2 linked regions of the Arabidopsis thaliana genome follow. The protein of the gene in region 1 purifies or fractionates together with the protein of each later gene. This does not show direct contact. Each region holds a gene or a part of one and is shown on either strand. Other genes may lie near its edges. The genes, in order: MTO1 and AT5G15400.

Evidence for each region.
Region 2: the proteins of MTO1 (region 1) and AT5G15400 fractionate together in Arabidopsis thaliana (co-fractionation; one large-scale study listed by BioGRID). This does not show direct contact.

What each region holds. Positions count from the first base shown.
Region 1 is NC_003074.8:32,440-46,842, forward strand, and holds MTO1 (Pyridoxal phosphate (PLP)-dependent transferases superfamily protein), read right to left. Parts: upstream 9,721-14,403; 5' UTR 9,427-9,720; coding exon 8,880-9,426; intron 8,801-8,879; coding exon 8,697-8,800; intron 8,579-8,696; coding exon 8,505-8,578; intron 8,398-8,504; coding exon 8,229-8,397; intron 8,129-8,228; coding exon 8,069-8,128; intron 7,989-8,068; coding exon 7,785-7,988; intron 7,691-7,784; coding exon 7,604-7,690; intron 7,526-7,603; coding exon 7,418-7,525; intron 7,331-7,417; coding exon 7,235-7,330; intron 7,144-7,234; coding exon 7,025-7,143; intron 6,919-7,024; coding exon 6,795-6,918; 3' UTR 6,320-6,794; downstream 1-6,319. Other genes in the region: KIN10 (SNF1 kinase homolog 10), read right to left, coding at 48-137, 229-414, 531-662, 755-937, 1,040-1,224, 1,349-1,541, 1,639-1,704; HYP1 (hypothetical protein 1), read right to left, coding at 2,574-2,702, 2,883-3,116, 3,413-3,688, 3,775-4,051, 4,137-4,435, 4,511-4,699, 4,781-4,990, 5,076-5,139 and 3 more; AT3G01130 (ATP synthase E chain), read right to left, coding at 12,795-12,938, 13,036-13,083; MYB106 (myb domain protein 106), read right to left, coding at 14,180-14,403. UniProt on the Arabidopsis thaliana protein: Catalyzes the first committed step of methionine (Met) biosynthesis. Catalyzes the formation of L-cystathionine from homoserine esters and L-cysteine, via a gamma-replacement reaction.
Region 2 is NC_003076.8:4,992,916-5,009,667, forward strand, and holds AT5G15400 (U-box domain-containing protein), read right to left. Parts: upstream 10,339-16,752; 5' UTR 9,993-10,338; coding exon 9,133-9,992; intron 8,662-9,132; coding exon 8,457-8,661; intron 8,316-8,456; coding exon 8,164-8,315; intron 8,077-8,163; coding exon 7,803-8,076; intron 7,530-7,802; coding exon 7,377-7,529; intron 7,278-7,376; coding exon 7,074-7,277; intron 6,993-7,073; coding exon 6,880-6,992; intron 6,770-6,879; coding exon 6,652-6,769; intron 6,497-6,651; coding exon 6,407-6,496; intron 6,327-6,406; coding exon 6,123-6,326; intron 6,044-6,122; coding exon 5,948-6,043; intron 5,865-5,947; coding exon 5,742-5,864; intron 5,660-5,741; coding exon 5,567-5,659; intron 5,483-5,566; coding exon 5,318-5,482; intron 5,213-5,317; coding exon 5,123-5,212; intron 5,026-5,122; coding exon 4,849-5,025; 3' UTR 4,574-4,848; downstream 1-4,573. Other genes in the region: DRM1 (domains rearranged methylase 1), read left to right, coding at 702-1,394, 1,474-1,911; AT5G15390 (tRNA/rRNA methyltransferase (SpoU) family protein), read left to right, coding at 2,418-2,556, 2,660-3,098, 3,613-3,751, 3,845-3,906, 3,980-4,118, 4,206-4,340; DND1 (Cyclic nucleotide-regulated ion channel family protein), read right to left, coding at 10,545-11,054, 11,171-11,257, 11,344-11,580, 11,673-11,784, 11,882-12,201, 12,388-12,603, 12,772-13,441, 13,820-13,848; AT5G15420 (uncharacterized protein), read right to left, coding at 15,036-15,484, 16,019-16,049. UniProt on the Arabidopsis thaliana protein: Ubiquitin-protein ligase that may function as an E3 ligase in conjunction with specific E1 and E2 ligases. May also function as an E4 ligase mediating the assembly of polyubiquitin chain assembly on substrates monoubiquitinated by another E3 ubiquitin ligase.

The sequences.
Region 1 (14,403 bases):
TGAAATGAAAGAAACAGCAAAAGAACAAGTGGGTGGGAAACACATACATCATTCTGGGTTCGGTTGCGGAGCGATTCGATGAGGTGGTTTCTGTCAAATCCCATATTGATAACTTCTTGGAGAATCTCCTCGTCAATCTACAAATGAAGACAGCGCTTTTACGCCTTTATCGAAAAATGGGAATAGAGATTTCTCTAATGAAAATAAGAGTAGATACGTTAGGCTTACCTTTTTTGCCTGTTGCACAGTATCTGGAGGAGGAACAGCTAAATACCTCGGAAGATGAGCTTGGAACCAAGGGTGTTGCCGGATCTCAGGGATGGTTACTCGTTTCATGGGGTCAACTACAAGCATCCGGGGGATCAAATCTCTAGCACCAGGAGATAAATGGCTAGGTAATGTGTATATCCCTCCCTATAGGACGAAAAGAGAAAAAAAAAAGGTTACAGTCGAAGGGTGATACGAAAAATAAAATAAAAAATTCAAGCATTAGTTCAAATAGACGAAAGAGGAGGAGTAATAGAATGTACCTTTATCTTCTTAAAAAGGTTGGGAATGTTTTCATCATCAAATGGAAGCGTCCCACAGAGAAGAGCGTAGAGTATCACACCACAGCTCCAGACATCTACTTCAGGGCCAGCATATAACTTGCCCGAAATTACCTGAAACAATTTATAGATCTCGACTATAACCTATCATTTGAAACAAGCCTAATTATAGTATTCCTCAGATACCTGAGGGCTGAAGCACTTACCTCTGGAGCGGCATAATTTGGACTTCCACAACTTGTCTTCAAAAAATGACCATCTCGCATTATGTTGCTCAGGCCAAAATCAGCAATCTTTACATTGCATTTAGAGTCCAAAAGCAAGTTTTCAGGCTTGAGGTCTCTGTGAACCACCATGTTTCGATGGCAGTATTCCACTCCTGATATTATCTACATCAAAGCCAAGTAGCTAATTCTTAACTCTCAAATATAATATAAAATCGAATGGTTGCTTGGAAAGTTACATGTTGATAAAATAAAATAAAAACATACCTGCTGAAAAAAGTTCCTCGCCTCATCCTCCTGCAATCTACCCTTCTCAACAATATAGTCAAATAGCTCACCAGAGTTCACATACTCCATGACAAGATAAATATCTGTGGGAGTCTCTATAACCTCATAGAGACGGATGATGTGAGGATGCATAAATAGTCTCAAGATTTTGATCTCTCTCCTCACTGCATCAAAGACCAAATAAGTTCAAAGGAAGGAAGACGAAAAAGAAGCTATATATTTATATATTCCAAGAGTACCGTGAAGTCACAACTAAGGTGGAATGGATACACAAAACAAAACTTGTACCTTTCTCCTCCATCTCCATGTTCTTGATTTTGCGACGATTGAGGATCTTGATAGCAACCTTATGTCCTGTCAATGCATGCTCAGCTATCTTCACCCTACCAAAGGAACCAATACCAAGAGTTCTCCCAAGCTTGTAATTTGGTAGAATCGATTCTACCCCACTTCTACTGCCTGTGCCTGATCCATCCATTCTCTACAAAAAAAGAGAGAGAGATATTAGATCTACTAGTACACAACACACAAAACAAACTGCAAAAGAGTAATAGGAACAAAAAGCAAGTAATTTTTACACTTTTGAAGATTCTGTGATCGATCGTTGAAGAAACTAAATTAAACTCATCTACTCGTTTGAACATGAGAATTTAGCGAGAATTAGGATCCCTTTTATTATCCAGAATAAACCAACCAACACTAAGAAGAGAGCTTAAAATAGCAATTTTCAGACTATCCCCAATTCGGAATATGAACCCTAATAATAATTCAATCGCAGAGGATTACTGGATCTCTCGTACCCGATTCAGAAATGACGATTTCAAGATCAATCCATTGATTTGCAAAAGGGCGAGAATTTTTTTTATTTCCGAAATAAGAAAATTGAGAGATATCGAAACTTACCAAAAATTAAAAAAGGCGGAGGAGAAAATTCGGAACCAAAAAATGCAGCAAAAAAAAGTCCCAAAATTTTCTGAGCTGAAAAAGTAAAATTGAGGAAGATCCAGAGATCAGCTTAAACCCAGAAATTATTGATAGATTCTTCCTCTCGCTTTCATTGCTCTCGCTCCTGTAGCCTATAAGGCGCAAGCAAGTATCAAAGACGAAATTATTTGATTTTTGGTTCCATAAACGGATCAATCTTTAACTAAATTACCCCCAGAGTTACGACTAATTACAATATATACCCCCATGCGGACGTGGCATCTAGTCATCATCTTTTTGCTAAATATTCTCTGTGGTAAAATTATTAACCACCGTTTTGTTTTGGCATCTTTCAAAAAGTTTGTACCGTCTTAAACCGGTTTAGAGAGATACATTGACATAAACTTTTTTTCTTTTTTACACAAGCCAAGTGTAAGCAAATGTACAAGACAAAAACCGCTTGATTCTCGGTTAAGACCCAATGTACAAGACAACCGGTTTAGTGTGTTCTTTCATGGATTGCACCAGGTATAGTAAACCAACAGCTTCAACATAAGCAAACTTCAATAGCTCAAGTAAAAAGGTGATCTCAAGGTGAGATATCTCTCGAGTCCTGTGATGCCGAAAGTGCAGGATCTCGGTAAGCAACAACGAGTTCCGAATAGAATTCAGACATGTTTTGCTCTCTCTCGTCTGCTTTATCTTTGTTTACCAGACACTGCAAAAGTAAAACATCCATCATCACCATATAAAGGTTTAGAGTAGATGCTGTAATGTAATAAAGGACTATGCATCATGTTCTGTTTGTTTTGTTTAGGTTAGGAATAAAAGATTATCTAGCCATATTTTTCTTCCATTGGATCAAAAATATGAGTAACTATTTCTCTAAAGCCTTTACCTGGGTAGGATAAGATTTGAAATTTGGTAAAAACCGTCTTTGGCAGTAAATGCTGAAAAGGACCGTGAGAACCGGAAGGGGAATTGTTAAAGAAGATGCCACTGGAAGCTCTTTAAGCCCGAATAATCCGACTGCAATAATGTGCATTAGTACCAAAGAGAAGATAGTATAGCTGTGAACTATTGGCCAAAACTTTCCACCAGTTTCATACTTGGCCGCATATACGTTTAGGAGCTGCAGCACAAAAAGGTGATGTTATTTCTATCAACAAGTTGCAATGGATTCATTAAGAAGAAAAAGAATTATGTGACGAGAAAATGGATTCTTGATGTAACGTTTATGTCATGACTGAAGCTCCAAAAAATACTTTCGGTTTAAAGATGCTATTCGAGAATTTAGAAAAGGGATCACATATAAAGAGAAGATAAAAGTGAGATTCCATATAACGAAAATATGTGTAGCTGATTCCTATATGATTTTATCAGAGATCAACAGAGAATTATACTTAGGAGTGAGATTGGTTCCGTTACCTGGTTGCGGTAGATGATATATCCAAGACAATAGTAGACCAACAAGAAAGGCAGTATCAATGGCGAAAGGAAGAAGTAAGTTATACCGAGGAGTCCAAAAAATAGAATCCTTGGGATTTCTTGGCAGAAAGGAGTTGAAGGAACCTCAAATTCTTTGTCATCTTCCTTGCCGAAAAGTTTCGTTATGAAACTCCAAAGAAGAGGAACCAAACGGAGGATCTCTGATGATAAACCAGTCCATCCAGAGGTCACAACATAAGATACAAAGAACGATGCCTACACCAAAGATTAAACAATAAACATGACTCGTGGTACGAAAAGGGAATTCCGGAAACCTCAATACTGAATTTTGTGTTCTTTACCTGTGCTGGCACAGCTGCAGCAAGCACACGAGGAATAGTCTTAGGTTCAAGGAACACATTAACACGATAAAGGGCAGATCCGGACAGTACATTTGCAAAGAAACTGTTCCATACAGTAAAGATTAGAAGCTTGATACATGCAGATTTCTCAATCTGGCTATGAGAAATGAATCCTTGCATTGAGGAAAGTAGAAGCATAATGGGTGGTACTATAAGAAGGAAAAGCTGGAAAATGAGACTCGGAAGATATCCCGTAATCACTTGACTCACGATTTTCCTGCAATCATAAGAAAAAAAAGAAGATTTTGTAATTGTTCAATTGAAACGAAGAACCATCTTTATCTAAATAGGGCTTTACTTACATATTTAATATTCCTTTTAGAAAAGGGAACCAAGTCTCCAACTGGTGAAGATTAGCAAGACCTTGAACCAATACAACGGGGACAATGTATAGGATCAAAAGAGCTACGAAAGCCACAAGCACCACTACATTGGAGATCCATCTTCTCACAAACGATGCAGTGAAAAATGGCCAATGAACATCTTCGGGCTCCGGGGCTGCCTCAGTTAGCCATTGTGTTGGATCTATTCCTTGCTGAATGTTTGTTGCTATTGCAGCACCATGTCTTGTCCTAAAGGAAACAAAAGCAGCTGGAACTTCCTAAAAGGGTTTGCCAAAAAAAAAGGAATGAATATGTTGAAGAATGCAAGTAGTCACAAAAAGACAAATTCTCACCTCTCCTGCTAATAAAGACTGTTTCAATCTCATGTCATCTTCTAACTTATCAAGCTTCTTTTGGTAATGGTCAACCACATCAACATTATTCCCAAACATCCCTAGAAACCCACCCCACCTAGACTTTTGGCGAGATATGCTTCCGGATTTTACTCGTGTAAGCTTCTTGTACAGCTTCTCAGCATCATTCTGCAAATATTAACAGATATATGAAATCCAGAAATATCAAAAGGTAAGGCCTTATAGAATCCTTAGTAGGTAGAAGCTTACCATGAGAACTTTCAACTTGTCTGTCCGATGAACAACTATATGAGAAAGATACGAGGAAGAATGATATTCCCTGAAAAAGTTTTCTACTGTCTCACTAATACTGTTCCCGGATACAAGAGGGACGCCACTGACCAGAACTGTAAATTCTTGTGGCTGAGGCTTGGATGAATAAAGATGAGCAATCCGCTTTGTTAAAATGTACTTGTGCTCCTGCAAAGATAGTCCAAACATTATTTTATGTTCCCATATAGGCGATATAAAGTAGAATGGATGGACAAAACAAAAGGCGTCTTACATAGTAAAGTAGAGAACAAACAACCGCCGTGAAGATGTATATTGCGCAAAAGTGGATCCACAGCCTGAAGCAAAACACATACAAGCATAAGAGATCGGTTACGGACAAGTAGAAATCGGGATACTGTTTAAGCATAGCTTCGAGTTCTTTACTTATTTGATCCATCGTTAACATTAGAGATACTGAAGTTATCCATAGACTTCTTTGGGAGGTCGAAAAACTCTTCAAACTCTGTTCCCATATAATTCACTGGAAGAAGTATGAAGATCCCAACCACAGATGCAAAGCTAAACACTCTTATGCTGCCAAACAAAAAAGCATTGAAGTTTCACAAAAAAAAAGTCAAACTTGAAGCAGATGCTCAATGAATCAATCAACCTGAAGACAAAGACACGAATGAAGACCAAAGCATCTAAGCCAAGATTGGAGAGGATTTCATCATTGGTAGGTTCCAATGCTCTTTTGACCCAACCAGCAGTAGGCAAAAGCCTCTCGAGGTTGAACTCATTTGACTGCTGAGACTTGCCATCTTTTTTAACAAGACGTGGACCGTATACAGTGACATTACTAGGCTGCTTTCTCAATATTGAATACAAAGTGAAGAAGAGAAAACAGAGGCCAAGATTGATTCCCACTGAAGTTAAAAGTGCTGACAGAAGCATAACTCCAAATTCACTTAGACCAAGAGAAGCCTGCCAAGAATCTGCAAAATTTGGGAGCAACACGAAGAAGATATCAGATATGTGTAAATTGACACACAAAAAGGAAAGGAATTTACAATTGAGAAGAACATGGAGAGTACTATGGTGGTAAGGAACTGATAAACCCAGAATCAATCTGCACAACGTTTTCTGATCTGGATCAAATAAAAAGCAAGAGACGAATTTTCCAAAATACATACCAGGAGAAAAGATGAATCAGTCGAGGCGGTGATCTTTTGGTTTGAGCTCTCTCGCCATACGTAATAAGTCCTCGATGCGACACGATACCATTTTTCTCGATTTTTCCATTCCTTAAAAATAACCATCTTTTTTTTCATTGGGATTCAAAAACAACGAATCGTAAAATGTTGCTTACTGTTGGGTCCGGATCCGGAACTTTGGGTTGATTACCCGCTGGACAACACATGGATTTGACAAGCAAAAGTTAGTCTTGTCTTAATGTCAATTTAAAATTTAAAAGCAAATAAAGAAGATAATAATACAATTACGTTTTGGGCTCTCGTCTTTATCAGTGGACTTATTAAAAAGGCCCATTAATCATTCTCTCAAGACATGGATTTTGCTGAGATCTACAAATCGAAATCGAAATCGAACTACGTATTGAAAGGAAAGAAAACAAAAAAAGACGAGGCATTTATGAATGCCTTATATGTTGTTGAAACAAAGAGAAGAAGAAGCAGAAGCTAGAGGGTCATGACCATTGTTCGAAGCCGTGACCTTGAGGTTCCAAGCACAAGGAGTTCTTACCACAAAGCAATGGCCACAATGGTCGTTCACATGGGACCAGTTATCTAATTTAACCTCTTTAAGACGCAAAACGAACTAAACAGAATTTATTATATAGCACAACAAACATCATAATAGTACACGATTATTTCGGAACGTAAATGTCGCGGAACAATAGTTCAAAGACATCATTATTACGGTGACTGAAAACAGCAAAGAGAGATAAATAAAGGACAAAGAAACGACAGCGTTTTTGTGTGATGTGTCATTTTCAGATGGCTTCGAGAGCTTGAAGAATGTCAGCTTTGACATCTTCAAAGTCTTCAACTCCAAAGCTGAAACGAACCAAGTTATCTTTGATTCCATACTTTAGTCTCTCCTCTTGCGGCAGATCCCTGAAATCAAAACCACCCATTAGAAATCGGAAATTTGTTCGATTTTGTCAAAGACGGAAGCATATGGAATCAAAGATAACTTTGTTCGATTTTGCCAAAGACATACCAGTAGGACATGATAGCAGGTTGGTCAACAATGCTTTCGCAGCCACCGAAGGATGGTGCAATGTAAGGAATCTTTAGAGAATCCACAAACTTGATTGTCGTTTCAATGTCTCCATCAATCTACCCAAGAAAGATAATCAAGGTGTTCAGGATCATACTTAAATGCTAATCTGGAGTAGATAGAGATTAGGTTGGTGATAGATCATATTACCTCGAAACTGACCACACCTCCAAAACCAGTCATTTGTCGCTTGGCGAGTTCATGTTCGGGATGACTTGGAAGGCCTGGATAGTACACATGACTCACCTGCAAATCAAAATTGCATCGATATTTACTCACATGACTCACCTGGATAGTGTCAGGATATTTACTCAAAAAAGAGATATTGCATACCTTAGGATGTGCCTCTAAAATTTCGGCCATTCTAAAAGCGGTCGAATTCTGTTGCTGTACACGAAGATGCAATGTCTTCATGCCTCGGATGATTAGGTACGCAGCGTTCTGTTAACAAACCTTTTATGAGAATTCATGAATTAACAGCATAATAAGAGGGATAAATGAGACAGTCAAGTAATTTACTGGGTTAAGTGTTCCTCCCAACACATGATGCAGATTGCGAATTTCTGAAACCAACTTCAGTGAACCACAGATGCATCCAGCAAGAACCTAAACCACCGAGAAACAATCTTTGTTAATAACTAAACAACCAGTGAGTGCTCTTTTGAGATGTTTTACAATATATGGAACATGTTTTACTCACATCATTGTGTCCTCCAATGTACTTTGTAGCAGAGTGCACGACAAGATCAGCACCAAGAGCAAGGGCTTTCTGATTCAGAGGTGTTGCAAAGGTGCCATCAATGCAAACCAGAGTTCCCCTCTTGTGGCATATTTTTGAAACTAGCTCAATGTCGACACATCTAAGGAATGGGTTTGTCGGGGACTCAGTGAAGAACAGAGATACCTGCCAGACAAGTCGGAATAAATTTGAGACACATACTCTCTTTCCAACTGTAAAAAGGACAATAATGTTACAGAACTGACCTTGAACTCATTCACTGCAGCTTCAAGCCCTGCGATATCAGCAGGATCAATCACAGTGACCTGGACATAAACATGATGTTAAACAATCAAGTTGAAAAACTGGAATTGGAAAAAGGAAGACAGTAATTAAAAAATTTAGATGCAATGGAAATCTTCTTACAGTGATCCCCAACTTGGGAAGAAAATTCTCCATGAAGATCCTAGTCTTCCTGTAGCAATCAGTAGTAGTGACAATGTGTCCACCAGCAGGAACCAATGCCAAAAGCATAACAGTGCTTGCACACATCCCAGATGCCATAACCAAAGTTGATTCAGCCCCTTCAAGTGCACTACAGCAATATATTAATCAAACAAATCCAAAAGCATCAACAACATAATCTTCAGGAAAGGCAAGTGCAATTATAAAACACATTATTAAAGATAAAATAATAATAACCTTATCTTATCTTCAAGTACCACAGTCGTAGGGTTACCATAACGACCATACTCGAAACTCACACTCCTTTTCTCCTACAATAATTCAATTTTTTGAAGATAAACAAAGTCAATAAAACTAGTAAGAGATTCTTTCAACCTAATAGGTGTTATTCTAATCCATAAAAGAAAGAGACTGAATCAATCAACGGACCTTGAAGTCAATAAGCTCAGCAGTTTTCTTGAAGAAGTAGGCAGATGTGTTGACTACAGGAGTAGTGATAGCATCCGTCACTATACCACGGCCTAATCTTTCACCTGTGTAAAACCTAATTTATCAATCTCCAACAACAAAATCAGATATGAAATGACTGAATCTGGTGGATCTAGGAGGTACCGGCATGAACAGTGAGGCTCCCATCGGAGCTCAAGAAAGAATGTTTGGAATCCGTCAGCTGTACACTACCTATCTTCTCCCTGATCCCCTCCTCGGCCACCACAACCTCCTCATCGACGCTTTTCAGCACGACGGGAGGCGCGGCAGCCACAGGGGCGGCGGCGGCGGACGAGGCTGCGGCTGCAGATGCGGCGGAAGAAACCGCAGATGCAGACGAGGTAGCAGCAGCCGCCGCCGCCGAAGGTAACGCGGAGGATGGGTTGTTGGACCACTTAGCCGCCACGATCTGTGCAACACCGATGTTGCTACAGTTTCTACGGGCTTTAATGCTCAGCTGACGGACGAAATTAGGAGGAAATCTTAAGATCCTGGAGGATAATCCAGCGTCCCCGGTGAATGAGGAAGAAATCCCGGCGGAGGCATGGACACGACGGCGAGATGATCCACCGACGGGAGAACCGACGAGATCTGGATCAGAACGGCATTGAAAGCCGGAGATTGAGGAGGAGGAGAAGATGGTAGGGCACTGGAATGATGAGACGGCCATTGTTGTTTCGTTTCTCAATGATTCTCTCGTTCTCTTCTCTCTCTTTTTGTTTGTGGTTTAGAGGTGCGTGAGGGCTTTCTCCATGGGCGGGTTTTTAAGAAGCCAAATTGCTTTGTCGTTTTGTTTTTAACCACTCTGGTTTACATTAACTTGACCAGACTAAACCATGCCTTTTCCTCTTACTATTATTTTTCTAATTTTCTACGTTACAAAAATAGAATACGTTTATTGCCAGATTTCTACTTACTTATCCAAACAATGAGTTGTTGTTGAGTTTTCAATCCAAGTTCCAACTACTCATTATTGTTAAACATTCAATTTCATGTTGAAAATTAAAATTTGTACTTACAGATTAATCACCTGAGATATTTTGAACGTACAGATTTTTTACATGAAATTTATTTTATTTTTAAAAAGAGAACACATCATAAATTTACCAAATGTGGTGTTTTTTTGTTTTTGACTATGACCTCTTTTTTTTTTTTTTTTTAAGGTCTGTAGTCTTCAAATAGAATCTAGGCAACTACAACTACTCACAATTTGTTAAAGTTGCAGCTAATTTATACATTTAAAGTCAAAAAAATAGTTGTGAGTTTGAGACCTTCTCTATTTAAAACTCAAATGTAGCATGAAAACGAACGATCAAAATGTACTAATTAAATAATTGTTTTTTTAATTAATGAATTCAGTGTAAAAAGAAATTTCTAACAACTGGACCCGAAATATAAAATAAGGTCCACTTGTGTGATAATGGTCTGGGTCCAAACTTCAAAGTCTTTAAATAAACACACCATCACACTTCAAAAAGCTTTGTATTGATTTGTGTGGTGATGGATACTTTGTAATTAATTATGTCATGTAAGAAAAGTGAAAAAAAAACACGGTAACTTTTTTACAGGGTCATAAAATTACGGGAAAAATAGAAATAAATACAAACCGAATTGTATTAAGGGCATCTCCATCAGTGAGATACTTTCTTAGTTTCTAAAAAATAAAAGATATAAGTATTTTAATAAATATTAGTTATATAATTAAATTTTAACAATAAAATAATATTTGACAAATAGATGATATACAAGTGTTTTTATGGGTTTCTCAGAGTTTCTCACTTGAAAGACTAATTCTACTCTCTCTCATACTTTTTGATTATATTTTATTTTTATATTGAACAGTTTTTTAATGAGAAACCATTGATGGAGATGGTCTTAATAATCAGGAATCACTAAGAAAAAGATTCGAAAGAGGACAGATATACCTCAAACTCAAAAGGTGTATTCAGGGACCAAAAAAGGAAATGAAAAAGAAAACGTCAATCAGACAATCACTTTCGTAAGCCTGAGCTTAATTGTTGGCAATAACAAAAAGACCAAAGCCGAATGGCTTATCCGAGTCATCTAATAATATATAATTATTGATCTTATTACAAAACTGTTTTAATTTGTTTTTTTCTTAATGTTATTTACGAAAATGCCACTTTGTATTGGTGAACGTGCGTTTTGAGACCTGAGGGTAGGTCGCGTTGCTTTGAAATTCGATTATGGATTTGTAAGGATAGGTAATAGCACTAAAAATATACTATTCACTATAATTATGTGATTGATCAAAACAAACATAAATTAAAGATGCCGTAAGTTATTTCTTAATTGATATGAAAAAGAACTTGAATCTTAAGAACATTTTATGTTCTTTTTTGTTTTTGGTCGAAACAATATGTTATGTCCAAGCAATGACAACAAAAAAACATAGGATTTGAGGTTTTAACTCAGGATTTAGACTTATATAATATCCTCATTGTATAAAAATATTTATTTATTTTCTATTAATAGTAAAGATTATATTTTCTTTACCCTTTTAGTAATTTAAATCCAAAACTTATGTTAGTTAGTTATTATATATAGGGACTTAATATACCTCAAGTTGATGGTAGCCAATGGACCACAAAAACACTTCAAGTGGTATTTATATTTAAATGTTGAAAATCATACTAATTTATTCTTTAAGTTCTCATCCGTCCAATGAAGAAAGCACCAACACAATGAAATTAACCGATTACTGCGTGTCCCATGACTCCCATTAAAAGTATAATGATGAATATATTATATAGTATTGTATTATTGTAGTGTTCATGGTATGGTTTTGAATATTCTATGGATAGTGATTTTAAAGTTTCAAGATGGGAATATAAATGATGATTTGATTATTCAAACTAGACATAGAACGCCATATAGAGAAACTCTTCTCAAAATCTCAAAGAAGATACTCATCTTGTAACCTTTAATTTTGGGTGCAAACATTTAGGTTTCTACAATAAGTTCAAATAACTTAATAAATTGTAGAGAATGAAAGAGAACAGAAAAAGGCATTTAAGAATGCCTCTATTACGTGAGAAAGAGAGACAGCGAATGTGTGAGTGTGACCAATGTTCGAAGCCACGACCTTGTATAGCTCGAACACAACTTGTTCTTGCCACCAAGCAGTGACCACATTGGTCGTCCTGAATAGCCAACTGCTTACTTTTAACTCTGCGCCACGGCGGATATTTATTTATTTTAATTGAAAACAAAAAAAATTCTTTTTTTTTTTTTTTTTTTTTTATAAATTATTTATCTGGTTAAGATGATAAAAATATGGTGTTTATTGAATAGCAGGAAAGTACCAAAGAAGAACTCAGGTTTAAACCAAAACGGGTATACGATTGCTTTGTCAGACAGAAGATTTTGATTAAAAAAACAGAAAGATGGAAAAAATGTCACCGAGGGAGATATAGCTTAAGGAGGAAAAGAACTACATTTAGAGATAACAATCACTTGGCTTCATAATCTTATTGAGAAGGAGAAGAAGAGTTGGTTTAGTGATGAGCCTTTGCTTCGGCCTTAATCTGCGAATTCTTCTTTATCTGCATATGAAGAAGAAGCATTTGTTGGTATCATCATAACTTATTAGCAAATCACATCATAGTAGAAAATTAGATTCCACAATCTGAATGAATAAGGATTGGGATGCTCTAAAGGAAGCAACATAGGCTCTACTTTCATACCGATTTTCTTAGGGTTTGGAAACCAGACACAACATCGCAAACTTATGCTTTACAAAGGCAAGAAATTACATTTCAGTGATCAAGTTGCAAATCATTGACAAACTCTTCTACTAAACATCAAGTCAAAACTATGATCATTCAGTGGAATAGGAGATCAGAACTCAGGCAGAAACATTGGGGTCAAAGAATCATGTTACTTGTGTATAGATGACCAAACCAAAAGGAGCAAAGTAGCATACTAATAGTCACGGCACACATGATTCGATCGAGAATATCATAATTCAAAAGCCATAAACATTCGAATTTGCTGCTATAATGGCAAGTGTCAGATTTAGGATGTCAAAATGAAACCCAATGAAAATAATTTCTCATCTGATAAAAACAAGACAAGGAAGATAGAGAGATGTACCTTTAAAGCCTTGAGCTTGATGTTGCCGTAGATGAGACCCAACCCGAAAGCCGAAGCACGAGCAACCTAAATCGATACCAAAAAGAAAAGACTCGATGAACTCTTCAAAATCCAAAATTCGACAAGTCAAGGCTACAGATCGAGAAATTGATCCGGGGTTTACCAGAGCAAGAGTGCTGGTACCGGAGTAAAGTCCTGGAGGTGGCGCCATTGATTAGCAGTTGAGATTAAACCCTAAAACCCCCAAATCGATCGAATCTTCCGAAATCTCAGATTCGCGATAATGAAAGACCAGAGCGACTCCTTTGTCTCCGTCTTCTCAGAAAAGCAAATTATTGGGCTTTATATGGGCCTTTATTCAATAGTACCAAACGTCAGGCCCATATCCTTCTTACTATTACGCCCAAATTTGCATGCACATTAAGTAAACGATTAAGGATTTACTATCAAATTCGATGGATGTAATGTAACCTTTTGTTAAAAATGTCTTAAGTTTAGTGGACTCGAATCTATTAGTAATATCTGTGTTTTATTACTATGGATCATACTGTATATAAATAAATTTATGATAAAGAAAAGGACATGAAACAACCAAGCATTGAATTTTCTTTCTTTTACTCGACATGTCAACGTGTTGTTGTTATAATTACAGCCTCTTCGTTCAGACATCTCTCATATAGAAAAATTTGAAAATTAGACAAAAATACTCCACAACCGGTGGATAAGTAATATGAATATCTATTTCCTTCAATTGCTTGCACTCAGCAACTTTAAAGAATTATGGAGTGGTTCCAATCCTATATTTTGAAACATCTTATCAATATAAGATTAAGGAAAGCTCAACTTCTATAACTCAATAGTTAAAGCGCCTAATTATTCCCAAAATTAGTAATTTAAATTCGAACAAAGCAATGATACTAAAAAGGATCTTTGTGCCGATAGGCTTTTCAAGAAAGCTCATTCCCAAAACAAAAACGTATTAGGATTTGAAGGAGGATCCCTTATTATGGTTTATGTATTTGGCCAAATGACAACGACGTTATCACTTAAAATATTTTTCTAACAAACTGTATACCAACAACATAAAAGCATAATATATAAATTGTAAATTGGATTTGCAGGTTTGCTACATGCAATTCTGCAAAAACGAATACTAAAATTAAGCTCATTTTCATCCCATATATATATATATATATATATATATAATAGTTTATAAAGAAAATAAAGATAAGTAAAAAGTATTGGAAAGCTATCGACATTTAAAAAACAATCTGAGAATTAAAAATGTTTGGTTGAAGACCCTTAGATCAGAACATCGTCGCGGAATCGGACGGTGAAGAATCAACCAAGTTGAGAATGCTATTCCAGTAATTCTTGTTATCCTCATAGTAGTTATACTCACTCTCATTCCCCACGCCCGCCGTCGCTTCGTTTTTCCCGGTGGGTAAACCCCGGCCGACCGAATCACCGATCAATAGACTCGTGAATCCTTCTCCTATTCCTCCACTACCACAGTTGATCTGCCTAATCC
Region 2 (16,752 bases), on another chromosome or scaffold:
ATACTTGGATTAAGTAGGGCTGTGATCAATCGATGAGAATTAGTTTTTTGCTCATATGTTTGAAGGATTTAGTCTATCCAGACCTCTAGGGTTTTCCTGTAACCTGTATGTTGTTAACTTTATTCAGAACTTCAATTTTTGATTTCGTAATCCATTCCATTGTTCTGTGCCAGATGCATTATTTGGATTGTTGTAGGCTTGTAGCTATTAACTATAGTTTTCAAATTAGAAAAGCTCTTTGGATTGTGAATTTGTGATCTTTGCCATCTTTTTACCTTGGTCAGTCTGATTGATGATGGATGATATACATGTCTCTGGATTTCATTGGTCTTACCTATTATTGACCGTTTCTGTTTTTGATTGGACTAGAGATGCTTTGGTTTAAGATGGCACTTTGATTTCTTGTCGTAGTTCTACTCGGTGTTTCACTAACTTACTGATGTTACTAATACTGTTCTGTTTCTAATCATCTTTGCATTTATACAATTCTTCCTCAAGCCTCTTTAAATGTTTTTTGCCTGTGTTGATTGGGATTCAGCCTTTCTGTCAGACTATTGTATCTATCATGTCACTTAACATGTTTTTACTTCAGTATGCTGCTCTTGTTCTTGGTAGACTTCATTTGTGTTTTGTTACTGTGTGTGGCTAAATAGAAGAACTTACCAAAAACGCACTGAACCTTGACTTTTTGACTGGTGCAGCTTATGAATAACAACAAAAAAAGGCGAACATACACTGAGACACCAAGAAAGCCGAACACGGACCAGCTCATCTCTCTACCAAAAGAGATGATTGGGTTTGGTGTCCCTAATCATCCCGGACTTATGATGCACAGACCAGTCCCAATTCCGGATATTGCTCGTGGCCCGCCCTTCTTTTACTATGAGAACGTTGCTATGACACCAAAAGGTGTTTGGGCCAAGATCTCCAGCCACTTGTACGACATCGTTCCTGAATTCGTGGATTCAAAGCATTTTTGTGCCGCTGCAAGAAAGAGGGGGTATATCCATAATCTGCCAATCCAGAATAGGTTTCAGATTCAACCTCCACAACACAATACCATCCAAGAAGCCTTTCCATTGACCAAGCGATGGTGGCCTAGTTGGGATGGGAGAACGAAGTTGAATTGTCTGTTGACTTGTATTGCCAGTTCTAGACTCACAGAAAAAATACGCGAAGCTCTTGAGAGATATGATGGAGAGACACCTCTAGATGTTCAAAAATGGGTTATGTATGAATGCAAAAAGTGGAATTTGGTTTGGGTAGGTAAAAACAAGCTTGCCCCGCTGGACGCAGATGAGATGGAAAAGCTTTTAGGCTTCCCGAGAGATCATACTCGAGGAGGAGGTATCAGCACAACTGATCGCTACAAGTCTTTAGGGAACTCGTTTCAGGTATGTTACTTATATCAGTTCAGCTTTTGGTTTGAAAGGTGTTTGGGGTTCTAAACTCAGTTGTGTTTTTATATGCAAGGTTGATACAGTTGCTTATCACTTGTCTGTGCTTAAGCCTCTGTTCCCAAATGGAATCAACGTCCTGTCACTCTTCACGGGCATTGGTGGTGGAGAAGTTGCACTCCATCGACTCCAAATTAAGATGAATGTTGTTGTGTCTGTGGAGATTTCAGATGCGAACAGAAACATATTGAGAAGCTTTTGGGAGCAGACGAATCAAAAGGGTATCCTGAGAGAGTTTAAAGATGTTCAAAAGCTAGACGACAATACGATTGAGCGGCTTATGGACGAGTACGGAGGATTCGACTTAGTCATAGGAGGAAGTCCGTGTAACAATCTTGCCGGAGGCAATCGCCATCATCGGGTCGGTCTTGGAGGAGAGCACTCGTCACTCTTCTTCGACTATTGTAGGATTCTCGAGGCTGTTCGTCGCAAAGCACGACATATGAGGAGATGAAGGATTTGAAGACCCAAGTTGTTCTGTTTTGTAAGGCACTTTTTCACATGAATCGAACTTGTATTTTGCAGATTCTTGTTGTTCCTTTCTGCTAGCTAGATATACTAATCCTTGCAAGAATATTTTCAGATTTTAGTTTGGCAAGTCGTGTAACTAAGTTTCTTCCTCTGCAAGAATATTTTCGATAAGTTTCTCTCCAGTAGAAGCAAACTATTAAACCAAATCGAACCATATTAAACCGAAACCATCACATCATTTTTTGTTTTGTAATTTAGATCGAACCATACTAAACCGAAATTATTTCGACTTTTTGTTCTTGGGTTCGAGACGACGACAAGAGACAAGCTCTGTCTGTGGTCGGGAAATCGAAACCAGAGCCTTGGACTGTGTCTCTGCTCTGTGGAGTATCCATTTTCGATTTCTTGAAGGTGAATCCAGCGAATCCTTAATCTCAAGCTCCGAGACTGTGCAATAAACAAAACAGTAGCTAGCAGCAGCAGCAACACATGAACTCGTGCAAATCCCTTATCCGTGCCTCAATCTCTTCCTTTCCATTTGTTCCTCTTCCAAACCCTAATTTCTCTATCACCTTCATCTCCGTTCGCGCCTTTTCTCCTCTCTCTGTCCTTCATCCAAATTCATCATGTACTCTCTCTCACTCTTTCGTCTGAAGTTTCAAGCTTTTATTTTGAATTTCGTTATCTGGATTCGTTTGATTTTGATGTTGATGAGATTTCGCGCCTAACAGGTATTGTAACAGCTCGACGCACATTTCATGGAGCTGTGGCTCTTTCACCGGAGAGCTTAACGGAAGAGTCTCCCAAGGATACTGTGAAAGGATTGTTAACAACCAATCGTGGTGAGGCCTCAAGCTTGATGAAGATGGAGCGGAGGTGTAGCTTAAGCAATGGTGAGGGTGATTGTAGAGGATCTTGGTTTCCTTACGAGGATAGGTTCAGGTGTGGTGAGGTGCATCTTAGTAGCCGTGAGGTGTTGGAGGCGGTGAGTCCTCATATGATGGAAGAGAGGACAGATAGGTTCAGGCGTGTGGTGGAGAATCGAAGCTACTCGGTGTGTCTTGTGGTTGAAGGTCTCTCTGATTTTGGAAACATCTCTGCTGCTTTCCGCTCAGCTGATGCGTTGGGGATTCAATCTGTACATGTTGTTTCCTGTGACAGCTCCAAAAGGTGCCCCTTTGAGGTTGGCATTTTCTGTTTCTTTGTTGATTCATAGGATTTGAGGTGAAACTAGGGATTCTTGCATTTTGAATTTAGACAATGTGCGGTGACCTGAGATCATAAGCTGGTGATTGAAGTCTGTAGAACTTTTGATTGCATCATAAGCTACCAAGATAGATCATGAGTTGGTAGTTATGTTTCTTGGATCACAGGATGGGGATAAGTGAGGACTCTTAAATTTCCGTAAAACATTGAATCTACGCTGATTGTGAGTCACTACTATTACATTTTCCTTCTGAGTCCAAGATTGATCATAAGTTGGCTTTCCTTTTTCTTAGTTCATACGAGATAGAATGGAGAATTGTTACGGTTTTTTGAACTATGCAGTGATACAAGAGTCATAGGTAATATCTGAAAAGATTGATCCATTAGTTGTTGACTGAAATGTAAAAAAGGTTTGATTGCATTGTGTGAATTCATTTACCGTGCTATGTGTGTGTTAATGTATATTATATATGTGTAGGTATAACGGAAATCGCCATGTGAGTATGGGAGCTGAGAAATGGCTGGACATTGAGTTTTGGGACACACCTAAAGAATGTTTCAAAGTTTTGAAGTCTCGCGGTTACAGAATAGCTACAACTCATTTGGGAATGGACACGGTAAACCTCTAAAGATTTGTTTGTATATATTTGTCATCACCATTATTTATGAGGCAAAATGAATGACATTCTCTTGGTGGTAATATCTTATAGGTTTCCATTTACGATATGGACTGGTCATGCCCAACAGCAATAGTTGTTGGAAACGAGGGCAGGTAATGAATATCATCTCTTAGTCCAAATTTGAGGGTTCATAATTTCTTAATGGATTGATTGGGGAATATGCAGGGGAATAAGTGACGAAGCGTTGGAGTTATCAGATCTGCGTTGCAGTATTCCGATGAATGGAATGGTTGATTCGTTTAATGTCTCAGTGGCTGCAGGGATTCTGATGCACCACGCAGTCTCTGATAGAACCACTCGTCTGGTAAACCTATTGACACAGCTAGACAATCATTTACGTTAGTTTCCAGTTCAGTTTATGCTTTAATTACATTTTATGGGTTTGAAACAGGGAAGCCATGGAGATCTGTCGGAAGCAGAGAAAGAGATATTGATGGCTGAGTTCTCACTTCGTCACAGTAGAAGCTCAATTTGCATTGCTTACGAGTTCGCTAAACGTAAACAACAACACTCTACCTCCTCCTAATTTTGAAACCGTTGTCTTATTCTCTCGCTGTTTTGCGTGTTATAGGCTTCGAATGACGCCTATAAAAACTCTTTCGAACTCTTTTTTTGGTACGACGCTTGCTTCATGTACAACTCTTAAATTCTATAAAAGACATCCTTCTGTCGAACGTATTGCCTTTTCAATCGAGTGAGTGGTGTTGATTTCACCATTCTTCTGCATCGACCTCACGCCATCAAAGATTAAGTTAGAAATTTCGCCTTTCAAGAATTGGTCACTCATAACTCTTATGCCAACTAGTAATCCATGAACAAACGTCGAAATGCATAGAAACTCGTGAACACATCGAACTTATGATAGAAACAGTTCTAGACATGATATTTATAAGTTTTTTTCCCGTGGCATCAAATAAGTGGAAAGCAAGCCCTAAAATAGATAGATAAATCCTAATAGAAAAGAAAGCCTAGCAAAAGTAAAAAAAAAAAGTCCTGAATAATTGTTATTATTTTGTTACTTTTGGAACACATAATTAATCAATTAACATATCACTGTTTGTAGTCTGTATCCTTTCCTTGTTGCTGCTATCTTCTCCACTTGTCCGTTTCTTAGACTGATGCGACTTCACAAACTCATCGATTTTCGCCTTCAACTCGATGTCCGGTATCAACATATCCGATGTCAAATGTGCTCGGTTAAATGGATCATGCTGCAGCAAAAGTAAGAGGATCATATACAAAGCCAAAATCTTCAGAGAAAGAGAGATGTGACTGATCAGTGATCATCATTGTGTTAGATAAGCTTACATTGTCGCTGAGAAGATGACGTTGAATGATGGGACGATCAACTGTGATTCTTGAGCTTGGAAGTATTACTGGATCTCTCATTAGCGTGTACTGCCAAAAAAGAAAAGGAAAAGAAAAAAACAAGAACAGACATTAGTGCATGGTAATAAGACAAGATTTAGGTTTAAATTAGTGTTTCTTTCAACAGATAAAGACCTGAATTGGGTCAAGGAACTCGTCTGGTATTTCCCCAAGTGCAGCTTCAGCATCCAGAGCTTCAGAAGCAGCAGCTTTGGCTTTTGTGCCTAACTCCATAAACTCTTGAATGATTCTTCCCTCTTCACCTATTCTCCTAAGCACATCTGCTCCTGCATTGAATAGCTGCAAAAACGGGCACTTGTTTAGTTCAGTAGAGACGCATCTATTATTATGAAAGAGGATTTGGTTTAGAAAGAAGGATCTGACCTGTTCATTATATGATCGGCCATCACTGGAGATGGCACCAGGGAATATGTTTACTGTGTCTCCTCTTGCGAGATTAACATATATGCGAACGATCTTCAAAGTTCACAATCATATCAGTCAGTTTTTTCTCACATACTTTGATCAGGAGAATTGAGTAATTGTAATCACTACTAACCTGTTTAAGTAACTGTTTTGGACGGAATTCATATTTCTCAGGATCTTTCAGGCTTAAAGATTTACGCTGTGGACCCACGAGTTGTAGCAAGAAGTAGTTAAGCATGTTGGCAACCCTCTCAACCTAAATAAGTGCAAACAAACAAAGAAACTCATCAGTTGGGTAATCATAGGGCAGGTTATCATTTCAGGAATATGGTCAGGTACCATCTCAGGGAGTAGGAAAGGGGCAGTGATCTCCTCGGATGTAAATGCAAGCATAGTCACATCTTCATTTGCCAGCTTCATGTCGATTCTAACAATCTGCAAAGAAAATCAAAGTTCTTTATGGGATCGGGATTCGAGTACGAAACAAGATATAAGAAGTGATAATCCAACTAACATTCTCCTGCGAATGGAAGAGTCTTGTTCTCTCCTGTCTCTCTTGAGTTGGTCTCTGCTCCCACTCTGCAGTATTTGACATGTCTGCCTCGATTTGTTTAATCTCGAGAATTTTGTTTAGACTTTCATCCAGAAGATAGATGCTATCATTGACTAAGAAGTTTAAGAAGTTCAAGTACACGCCCTTCTCTTCGTCTTTTGCAATCTGTAACACATCAAATTTGGAAAAACATTGGAACATGATAGTTGAAGTTCAAAGTCATGGCAAGCTCACTAAGAATTTACCCGTCTCCATGCATTTCGGTGACTAGGCACCTGCCAGAGATACTCTAAAAGCTCGGCAATGTTGTGGCGAATATTGAACTTGTCATAGAACTGCATTTGGATAACTAGATTTCAGTTCCAATAAAAGCAAGAACAAATGGCTATTCTGGCTTCCAGAGCTAACATATTCTCAAGTACAATGCAATAGAGAGAAGTTCATTACTCCAGGAATATTATAGCCACTAAACAAAATCTCTTGCAATCACCTGAGTGTGTGAACCCGTGAACTCAATGTCAACATATAGTTTCAGTAAATTCCTGACAAGATACTCGAGCGATAACTGATGTCCCTCAAAGAGAGTAGATGTAGCAGAAGAAGAACTACTGCAGGAAAAAAAAAAAATTAGAATGGTGGACCACGTTACTGCAGAACTTGTTGCATTAGCAACACAAATTGACAAATGTACAGCTTTCTTTCATGGGAAGAAAAACACCTTGAACGAGGCATCCAGCAGTTCAGAACTTCAACCATCTTTGCTCTGAGATACGGGTTTCTAACATATTCAGGACTTGCCATGAACATAATTATGAAGTTCATAAAGTCGTCCTTAAGAAAAGAGAACAACCATCATCAGTGCAAATACAAAAAGAGAATTTCTACAGACTGATGAGAGCAAACTAAGCATACCAGCGGCACCCCGTCCAAAGCTTTGGGAATTCTTGAAGCGAATATCAGCAACTCCATTGCATCTTCAACAAAATGCTCAGGCATACAGGAGAATTCCATAGGGCAAGTTGACGGTAGAGGCATCTTAAAGCCACCGACTAGTCCAACTAACCAAACAACCATTAGGCGATAGAAAGACAGAGCTCGCTGAATAAAATCTCCATCCTTCAATACAGTATAGAGATAAGGCAGCTATTACTATCATGTTACCGGTCCAGAGGAAAAGCCGAAGATGTTATCAGAGCAGAGAATATGATTACAAACCCTCAATATTTGGGCCTCATGGCAAAGCTTTTCCTGCGAAGACAGCTCTAGTTCTTTTTCCATTCGGGATATATCAAGTTCCAACTGTGGAGAAGGTGCTTGATCTCTCATGGCTTTTAGCGTTGCAAGATTATCTTCACCTCTCGAGATGTCCTACGTCATGCGGAAAAGAAAAAGTGAAGAACCATACAATAACAATCTTCTGCAAATTCAGGAATCAATGACACTTTCACAATGTAAACATGTGACTAAGTTCAAGTTTTTGCTATAGTCCCTTCTCGTTTTAACTAACAAACGCCTTAATAAGACAATATGTAAGGAACCAAATCAAATAAGAGCTTTCTGCAAGATAATTTATCACAAGTCGTTTTTTTTTCCAAAAAATCTTCAATATTTCCAGGACGGGAAAACTGTGATGATGATTACCTGAGCAAGATGTTTAAAGTCAGAGAGTGCTTTTAGGAGACCCAAATTGAGGACCCTAGCAGTCATAAAGAAGCATTCACAAATGAAAGTGTATTTAGTTGCTGACTTTGCATTTTGCCCAGAAGCATTACTACTAGAACTTGTGGCTTCTTTGGATTGTAACAAGCGACTTTCGTTCCCATTTTCTCGCCCAGCATCATTTGCGTTTGCCATAGCATCTTTGCCAATCCACTCAGTAACTTCTTCGGATGATGCATGGAGAGCGGTCAAGTCGCTGGTGTGGATCATAAATAATATTGCTCATCATGAAACTATTAAAATCAGTGAGGAAATACAAGTAGAATCATCTTGAGGACCATACCTTAATTTTAAGCGATGGCCACAGAATGCGTATTTTGGATCAATCTTATCCCTTTTCGTTAAATGTGGGTCTAAAAATGGTTCACAGAGCCGGAGCATTACTGCACTAAGGTTAACAAACATGCCTGAGCTAGCACAAGAGACTGGATCAACCTGTCATACAAGATAAACATATTACAGAATGCTGATTTGAGCAAAAAAGACAAATACCAACTTGATAAAACCGAGAGGAGACAATAGCAATTCATGAATAAAGATCCGAAGTATATATGCATCTTATAAACGGATGATTACCTGTATATGGGCTCTAGACGCATTTGCATTGATCACCTCTGCAAGAAACTGTAGAACACGCTCACGGGTATCAGTACTTTTAAGTAAAATCATCAATACATCATGCAGCCCGCTGTACAAAATGTTCATGAAATTTTTAATCGTGGAGAAGGATGATAATAAATCTGCGGGACGACGTTCCGATGCTTCAGAGAAACACTGCTGCCTGATATTCACAAAAACAATAGACATATATCAGCATTTTCATAACAGGTAAAGTATATCCTCTGAGGTGGATCAGGAAAACTCTTATGTTCGCACAATTAAGCCTTGTCAAATACTAAATGGACAATCAAGATTCTTCAGTACAGACCAGAAAAAATGCTCAAAATAATGGATTTCATCCACAATATTCTAACTTAACATAGTGCTTACTAATATTTCTGTTGGTTTCGCCTCTACTGATCATCTAACTATGCTAAATTTATATAATCATGCTTAAAATATGTATACAACCTAACAGTGGCATCATATATAAGCCAAATATATCTGCTTTTTTCCTTTTTTGATCAAGTCTCTCTACTATGAGTAAAAGCTAATCAATAATTCTTACTATCCAAACTTTCTCAATAAGAAAAGAGCCCCAAAGACTACATGATTCTCAGTAATAGAAACCCATAAATAAGTTGGAACTCACCCAACATCAGGTTGACTCTTGAATAGTGTATTATCTGGCAGCGCACTAATATGGAAGAAAGGCCCAAGAATGCTAGTCAACTCCATTGCTCGGCCGTTCATATAGGCACCCCGTGGAACCCACCACTCATGACTAACCAGAGATTTAGCTCCTACTGGTAAGCTAACAAGATACTTGAGTGCCCTCAGTGGTGGCTGGAAATCTCCAAGCACTGATACATTTATAACCGTAGACCTCAAATCCTCATACAGCTCCTTTAGAATCGAGTCCAAGCTATCAAAATCCGAGTCTTTGAAAAACTCATCCAAAAACCCAGGAGGAGCTTGAACCCCACTGCTACTAGCTCCAAACATATCCAACGAACCAGAACCAACCTCAGCAAAGATCAACGGAAGAACCGGAGAGACATTCCTCTTCTTCAACCTATTATCCAATCCACCACTAGGTTTATCCGAGTTCCCAAACATGTCAGGATTCCCCAAGTGAATCCTACAGTAAGAAACAGCAAGCTTCTTCGCTTGTTTAGTGACAATCTCCATCTCCGATCTCAGATTCTTATCCTTCATCGACTGGATTTTCTTCGATTCGTCGTAAGCACGACGGTGGCAACCGATTAAATACGGGAAAGGCGGTTCGGCGTCGGAAAAGTCGCCGGAGAGACGATCTATGAGAACTCTCTCCATCAAATCACGAGAAAGCAAAAGCTCTTTACCTTCGCTGAGAATCTCAGCGGCCGTCATCTCCAAGTAAACAATACGAGGATCGGAATCAGTTGATTCCGTTAGGGTTACATAAAATATCTTCCGGAGGATTATATCCTCAATTTCAGCCGGCGATCTTTGAGGTTTGCTCGTCGCCATTGATTTTACGAATCAAATCAAACACTCGAAACTCGATTTGAGAGATAAATATAAGAATTTTTTTTCTTAAACTTGTATTACCGATGAATCAAAAGCGAAAGAGTTTGGACTTAGCAATTTAAAGTATAATTAAATTTAGAAAAACTAAAATTCACGAAAGAAGAGAGAAACCATGGCGAGAGATTTGGAAGAACTTTCTGGGAGTAGGTTTTTGTTTATGAACTCTTTTGGAGTCTCTGAACGAGCTTTAGCAAGTCCTGAGCTTGGACAAAAAGTCTATATAGGATATATGCAAACGTCGTACTTACTAACGACGTCGTTTATACTTATTAAGACAATTACTTTTACTGCTAATAAAAAATAAAAAATAAAAAATTACCAAGATAAACTCCTCCAAGATTTTGTTGCTCAAAAAATCTACTTTGAACTTAACCGTAAGAGGTTGAAGTATCATTCCAAGAAAGATTTTTTAAAGAAGTAAAGGTAAACAATTGAGGAGGAACAATGAACACACAATTATTTGGACCGATATAAAATTGGAACTTTTTATTATTATTCGAGATGATCATGCGGTCGAATGGACATGAACATAGCTGCATACTGAAGTAACCGGCGTTCACTGTTACCTTCAATGCTATTCTCCGACACAGGACTCATCGAACCGCCGATGTTTTCACCACGGGTTCTTTTCCTACGCCGGCGCCACGCCATCTGAATATTTACCGCTGCCCACGTCCTCCAGTTTGAGGAATAGTATCTTGCGGTCCGCTTAAGCCGCTCGTTCGCGAATTTATAACGGAAATGATCGGTAATGTACCTAAGATCTTCGGATCCGAGGGAGAATGCCTCGATGTTTTCTAGGCAGACAAATGTTGCTGAGGAAGGGGGAAGACGGTCCAGAAACGGGCGACGTAGGCACCATGAGAGTAGCTCGTCGCCCAAGTAACCGCCTGGTTCTAGTGTACTAGTGGCTAGGACGCCTTTGCTTAGGCTCTGTATACGTTTGACTCGTCCACGCATGATGAATATCATTCTCTGTACAGGATCTCCTTCACGGATGATCTGTGACAATCAACAAAATCGAAGAACCTCAGATTTTACTCTTCAAGTAAACTCTTAAACCGAAACCGAAGCAAAATATTGGAAATATAAATTTTTAGAAATGATGGGATGAGTACCTTTTCGTCTTTAGAGAAGACTCGAGGCTTAGCCCGATCGCAAATGTTGTCGAGGATCAAGTCGTCCATGCCCCTGAACAATGGCACCTGAGAAAGATCAAACATGTCAGAGACTTAACACTTACTGCTTTCACAAGTCTTAACAAGATTGTATAAAGTCTGCTTCCTAGTACCTTGTTAATGAGATCAAAGCAAAGATATCGTTTGATATCTCTTCGAAGACCCGGAGGCAAATCATGTATAAGTTCTAGCTCGTCTTCACCACCCAAGGCATTCCATCTCTGCCGCTCAAATCGCCTAACCCTCTGTCTTAACCGGGAAGGTAACTGCCTACGTTTCATCCACCATTCCATATCCCTACACCGTATCTGCATTTTCCTTTTTTTCGCCATTACCGCATGCAAAAACACCTTCAAAATATTGTAAAGTAAAAAGCTTTTTAAAATCTTACATTCCATGAAAACACAATATCATAGAAAAGACATATTCTTGCATAGTTTACCTGAATGTTTCCTATCAACAGCGTGAAAAGTAACAAGCCACTTAGAACCATAACTATACTGAAAATAACCTCGAGCCAGTTGCTTGTGGGCTCAAGATCATTCGCAAATGTGCTGTAAAACGCGACCCCCAAAACAGATTCAGTATGTCAATCAGAGAATTTTTTTATATCCAAGATGTAAACCTTAAGCTCAGAAACAAAGCAATTACCTGAGAGTCATTAGGCCCCAGAAGATGGGGTAAAGGATCTTAACCGCAAGAGAGTTGCTGGAGATGACTGGAAGTGCCCAACGGTAGATACCATATCGGAATGGTCCGTTAGAGTCTAAGCACATAGGCTTATTGACCACACTGGTAAGGTTTCCAGATAAGCATGGATATCCAACTGTGCTTGTCGGTGACACAAATTGGTAACAGACCTCTTCTTTGCAAGCCAGACTCAGATTGCAGTTCCCGGTTCTCATACATTGTTGTCTTATGCAAGAAGCAACACGCTGTATTGCGAGAACATACCAACATCCCCCAGCAACCTGAAACCACCAGAATTTCCATAAACAACAAACTTTAATTTCATATCTTAGGACAGACCTTAGTAGTACTATATATATACACATGGGATTTGTTATATTGCATTTGTTTTAGGACCTGAATATAACCTATTGTTGCAGGACATTATATTCAGGCAGAAATACAATATCTAGCTTGAGAGGACTTACATGAGAAGCGATGAAATATGCGATGAGATTAAGAGCAAAACCCCACCAAATAGTTCCAAAAATGTAACCAGTGACCTTCTGCATCCTTCTCATCAAACAGATGCAGTGATAAATCTTGGGGAGGAACTGGAACAAGAATATTAGCAGCAGAATCGTCATTATCAGCTTAACCTTCTCTTCTCTTATCAGTTTCGGCACAACTAACCAAAACACTGCCTGCAAACAAGCAAAAACACAAAGTTCACATCTTATCTGCATCTCAAATCATGATTCATCAACAGGTAACACTTTCAAATGTAAATATGGGCTTTATTGATAGTAATAAAAAGTTTAGGGTTAATTTCATAATATTGGAATAGTTGGAAGGTTGTTCTGAAAATTCACCTGAGGGACAGGGAGGATGACGATAACATCAAACCAGAAGCCAGTGAGAGAGCGTGCGTAGTGAGACGCGATGGCGCGTGGATCCCAAACGAGCTTCCCACAACCAACGACAAGCGACTCTCTCGAGACGTAGGCCAGTCTGAATTGAAGCCACACGTGCCAAAGATGAACAGCATCGAGACACGTGCGGAGCACCGTGACCACCGCGGCGAACGCACCATCCATGTAAAGACACGCCGGTCCGGTAGTTCGGCCGATGGAAAGCGCGTAGAAGAAGAGCGGATCCACCGCTAAAGCCATCCCACGAGCTAAAAGCAACGCGCGGTTCCATCTCTGCACGCGCTTGCTCCTAGGATCGAGAACTTCACCAAACGGACCTTTGAGACGTCGGAATCTGGTTCGGGCTGGGTTAGGGACAGATCCTTCCTGGATCGGAACTAGAGAAGAGCCGGCGGAGGCACGCCACTCCGGCGCGTGAGCTTGATCGCAGCTAGTTGAATGGAAAGCTGGGACGCCTACTTGTGTGCAAGCGTAACACTCGACGGAGCTTAGCACCGGCGTCTCATCGCTGCCGCTGCTGCTCGAATCTCCACCGTTGATTTGGAGGTTACTGTTTTCATCGATCCCAGTCGTTTGTCGACGGAACTTATCGGAAAACAGTCCAATCCACCTGAAATATTCAAATTGTAATCAGGAATTAGCAATCTATCGCCAAAAATCATTCAGAATCATCTCACATTCGTTATATAGTACACAATTATGAAAATCGATTTCGTTGCTAGATGAACGATTTCGCATACTCAAGCGAGATTATAAGGAATTGCATGGTGACTTGTTAGCTATAGAACAGTTCAAAAAACGAGTGAATTTTCCGGGAAAAGTGTTTCTCGGGGAAAAATAATCAATCTCAGGTAAAGCTTGTAACCTCTGGGTAAACAGCAAAAGACACAAAATACATATTCAGAATTCGGGAGTGTTTTAGCGTGAAAGCACCATTAATGAACGAATATAGATATGAAAAAAAATGGGAATTGTGTGGTATAAAAACCTGAAGATGAAGTTGGGGTGAGAGGGCATGATTGAAATAGAGGAACCACCATGGGAGAGGGAGAGAAGAAAATTTGCAGGGAGTGATTGGGAGAGAGAAGAGTGATTTGTATAGAGAGGCAAAGCCGCAAGATTTGTGTGTGATACGTACGTCTCTTAGTAGGATTCGGTTTATTTGTTAGGGGAGATTCCGGTTTAATAACTAAAATCGAAGATCGAACTAAATCAGAAACCGAACCGGGATTGACAAGGGGGAGATGATGAGCTGTCAAGTGTCTGAGAGATGTGGTGGCTTGCTTAGCAAAACGGCCCACAAATAGACATTGAACAAATTGGATTCCGTACAGATCATGAGGATTGCTACGTTAAAATGGACCCATCATTTTAAATGTAATTTCTTTACGTTTAATCATTGAACTTTTAGATAAGTTTACAAATTTACTTGCTTTATATAGGAAGATGTCATAATTCTAACTCTATAAATACAGTAGAAGATATTTTAGTGAATGTACGATTTAAGCATATTATCATTTGATATTATTCATTAATTATACTTTTTTTTGTCAAACATTCATTAATTATACAAATAACAGATTTTCATGATAATGATTTTTGTCGTTGTCATTAACATTTACTGATAGATGTATTTGACTCAATTATTGATATATATGTTTGTTATATACTATATTTTGTTTGCCGTCAATTGATACTTGTTATATATGTGTTTTTATTACGGATTGAATACATGTTGACGTACGCCATATCCCTATGATATAACAACGGAGACATACGACCAGCCTAATCTCGTAATTAAGCCTTTGTTGATTGCAGATACAGAGATACTCCAGTTACTATAATGTTTTTTTGCAGCATAATACTCTCATTTTTTCAATTTTCATTATTGCTTACACTTTTTAAAATAAAAAAATTACCTACAGTTAGTTTACTAATATATATGATAAAATGCACTTTTGTGGTCATATATAGTACACACGTACCTGACAGTGAAGTTTCCAAAAATTTGACAGTCATACAAATCCATATCATGCATTAATAATTCGAGTGACGACCAATATCAGCGGACCACACACATCGAACACAAATTTCTATTTATTTATTTTTGGGTTGGATAAAATTCAGCGTTTATTGGAATAAATAACTAAGGATACAGTGCAGATGAATAAATGGGTATGGTAGATGAATAACTTTGTTCAAACTCATTCTAATATTGCATGTAGTAGAGGACTGTTAATGCACGAATTAAACAAGTACGGGTGAGTCTCTGGGGAAGGTGAAGAATCAATCTCTAATCCACGAGCTGAACTTGAAGCCGGACAATCGACGGGCTGAAAGGCTTGTTGCGAACTGAGAGCATAGTTGAGGGCGCTACGAGGCGATGCTGTTTCGAGCTGGTGGTTCTGGTGAGCTGGCTCTTCTGGGCGAGCTGGATGATCTTCGATGAGCGGACTTCTCTCGACGAGCCGACTTGTATCGATGAGCTGACTCTTCTGGGCGAGCTGGATGATCTTGACGAGGCGACTTCTCTCGACGAGCTGTCTTCTATCGATGAGCTGGCTCTTCTGGGCGAACTGGATGATCTGGGCGAGCTGACTTGTGCTATCCTCTCTCCAGGTCCCGAAAAACGTCCCCTTTTTCCCGAGACTTTCTATTCCTTATTTATACCCGTCCGTATAGTAGGGTACGCAAGGCGAATTCCCGAGAATGCCCCTTTTCTACGCAGCCGAACTCACATCCCGACTAGGCCGGGCTTCGGCCTGCTGGGCCGTTATTCCTTGAAATGGGCCGGTTGATTACTGAGGCCCAATTGATGTATCAACAAGGACTAAATATAAAATACTCCGAATGGTGGATTTGTAGAGGAACGTATACGCATGATAAAATACATAACATTTTTAAAAAATAATAGCGAAATTTTGGAATATTATTTTATGTACTTACTTATCGAACATAATGAAAAAGACAAAAATCCCATGTGCAATAATTCTTTTTTCCTTTTTTTTTTTTTGGTGTCCATGTATGCAAATTGGAAAGCAGGCGAAGAAGAAAAACCGTAGGGACCAAAGTTGCACAAAATGGCAAAGAAAACGTGACATTGATTTGTATCTGGTTGGTCGACATTCCTTCGATAGACTCTCTCAATTATCAATAAATAGAAAACCGATCAAATACCGATTTTAACCAGGCTTGGCTTGGAGATTTGAACACGACATTTTTTTTTTTTTTTTTTTTGAGTTCGACACGCAAAGATGATCTTAGGCTTATGTGGAACCAACTACAACTTGTGTATTTCACCCATAAATATTTTTAAGAATATTCAGTTTTTGTTAACGATTCGGTTTTTTGGTTCTCGGATTGTAAAATACCAAACTCAGTTCAAACCGATTTATTTTGGTTTGAATTCAATTTTGGCACGGTTAGTTTACCATAGGCAAAAATTCTAACCATAAAGGAAATGTACATGCATGATTGGAGAACAATTTTCTATTCATCCACTAATTTCCTACAAACTTGACAATTTCTTTTAAATTTTCATCAGAAAAACGGTTTTGTTATGTAATTAACTAAACTACTCACAATATTTTTGTTTCTTCTGTTTTTATTTTCTTAACTATTTATTTTCTTTAACACATAATTTCTAAACTAATTTATTTTCCGATTTTAAACTCTTCTATTTTAATAGTTAAAAAACAAAAAATCTAGTCATCAACCCAACTTAATTTTGTAAGTTGCTGCAATTAAACACATACATGTCTCGTTGGCAGAACTAATGTGAAGGCTGGGCCACGCAAGCCTACTAAATCTGGCCCATTTAAAATTAGGTGGTCCACACAGCTAGACATTTCCCCACGTGTCAGACTTGTTTTTCATTAAAAAAAAAATTTTAATCTCTCATTCGAACAAAAAGGATTTATC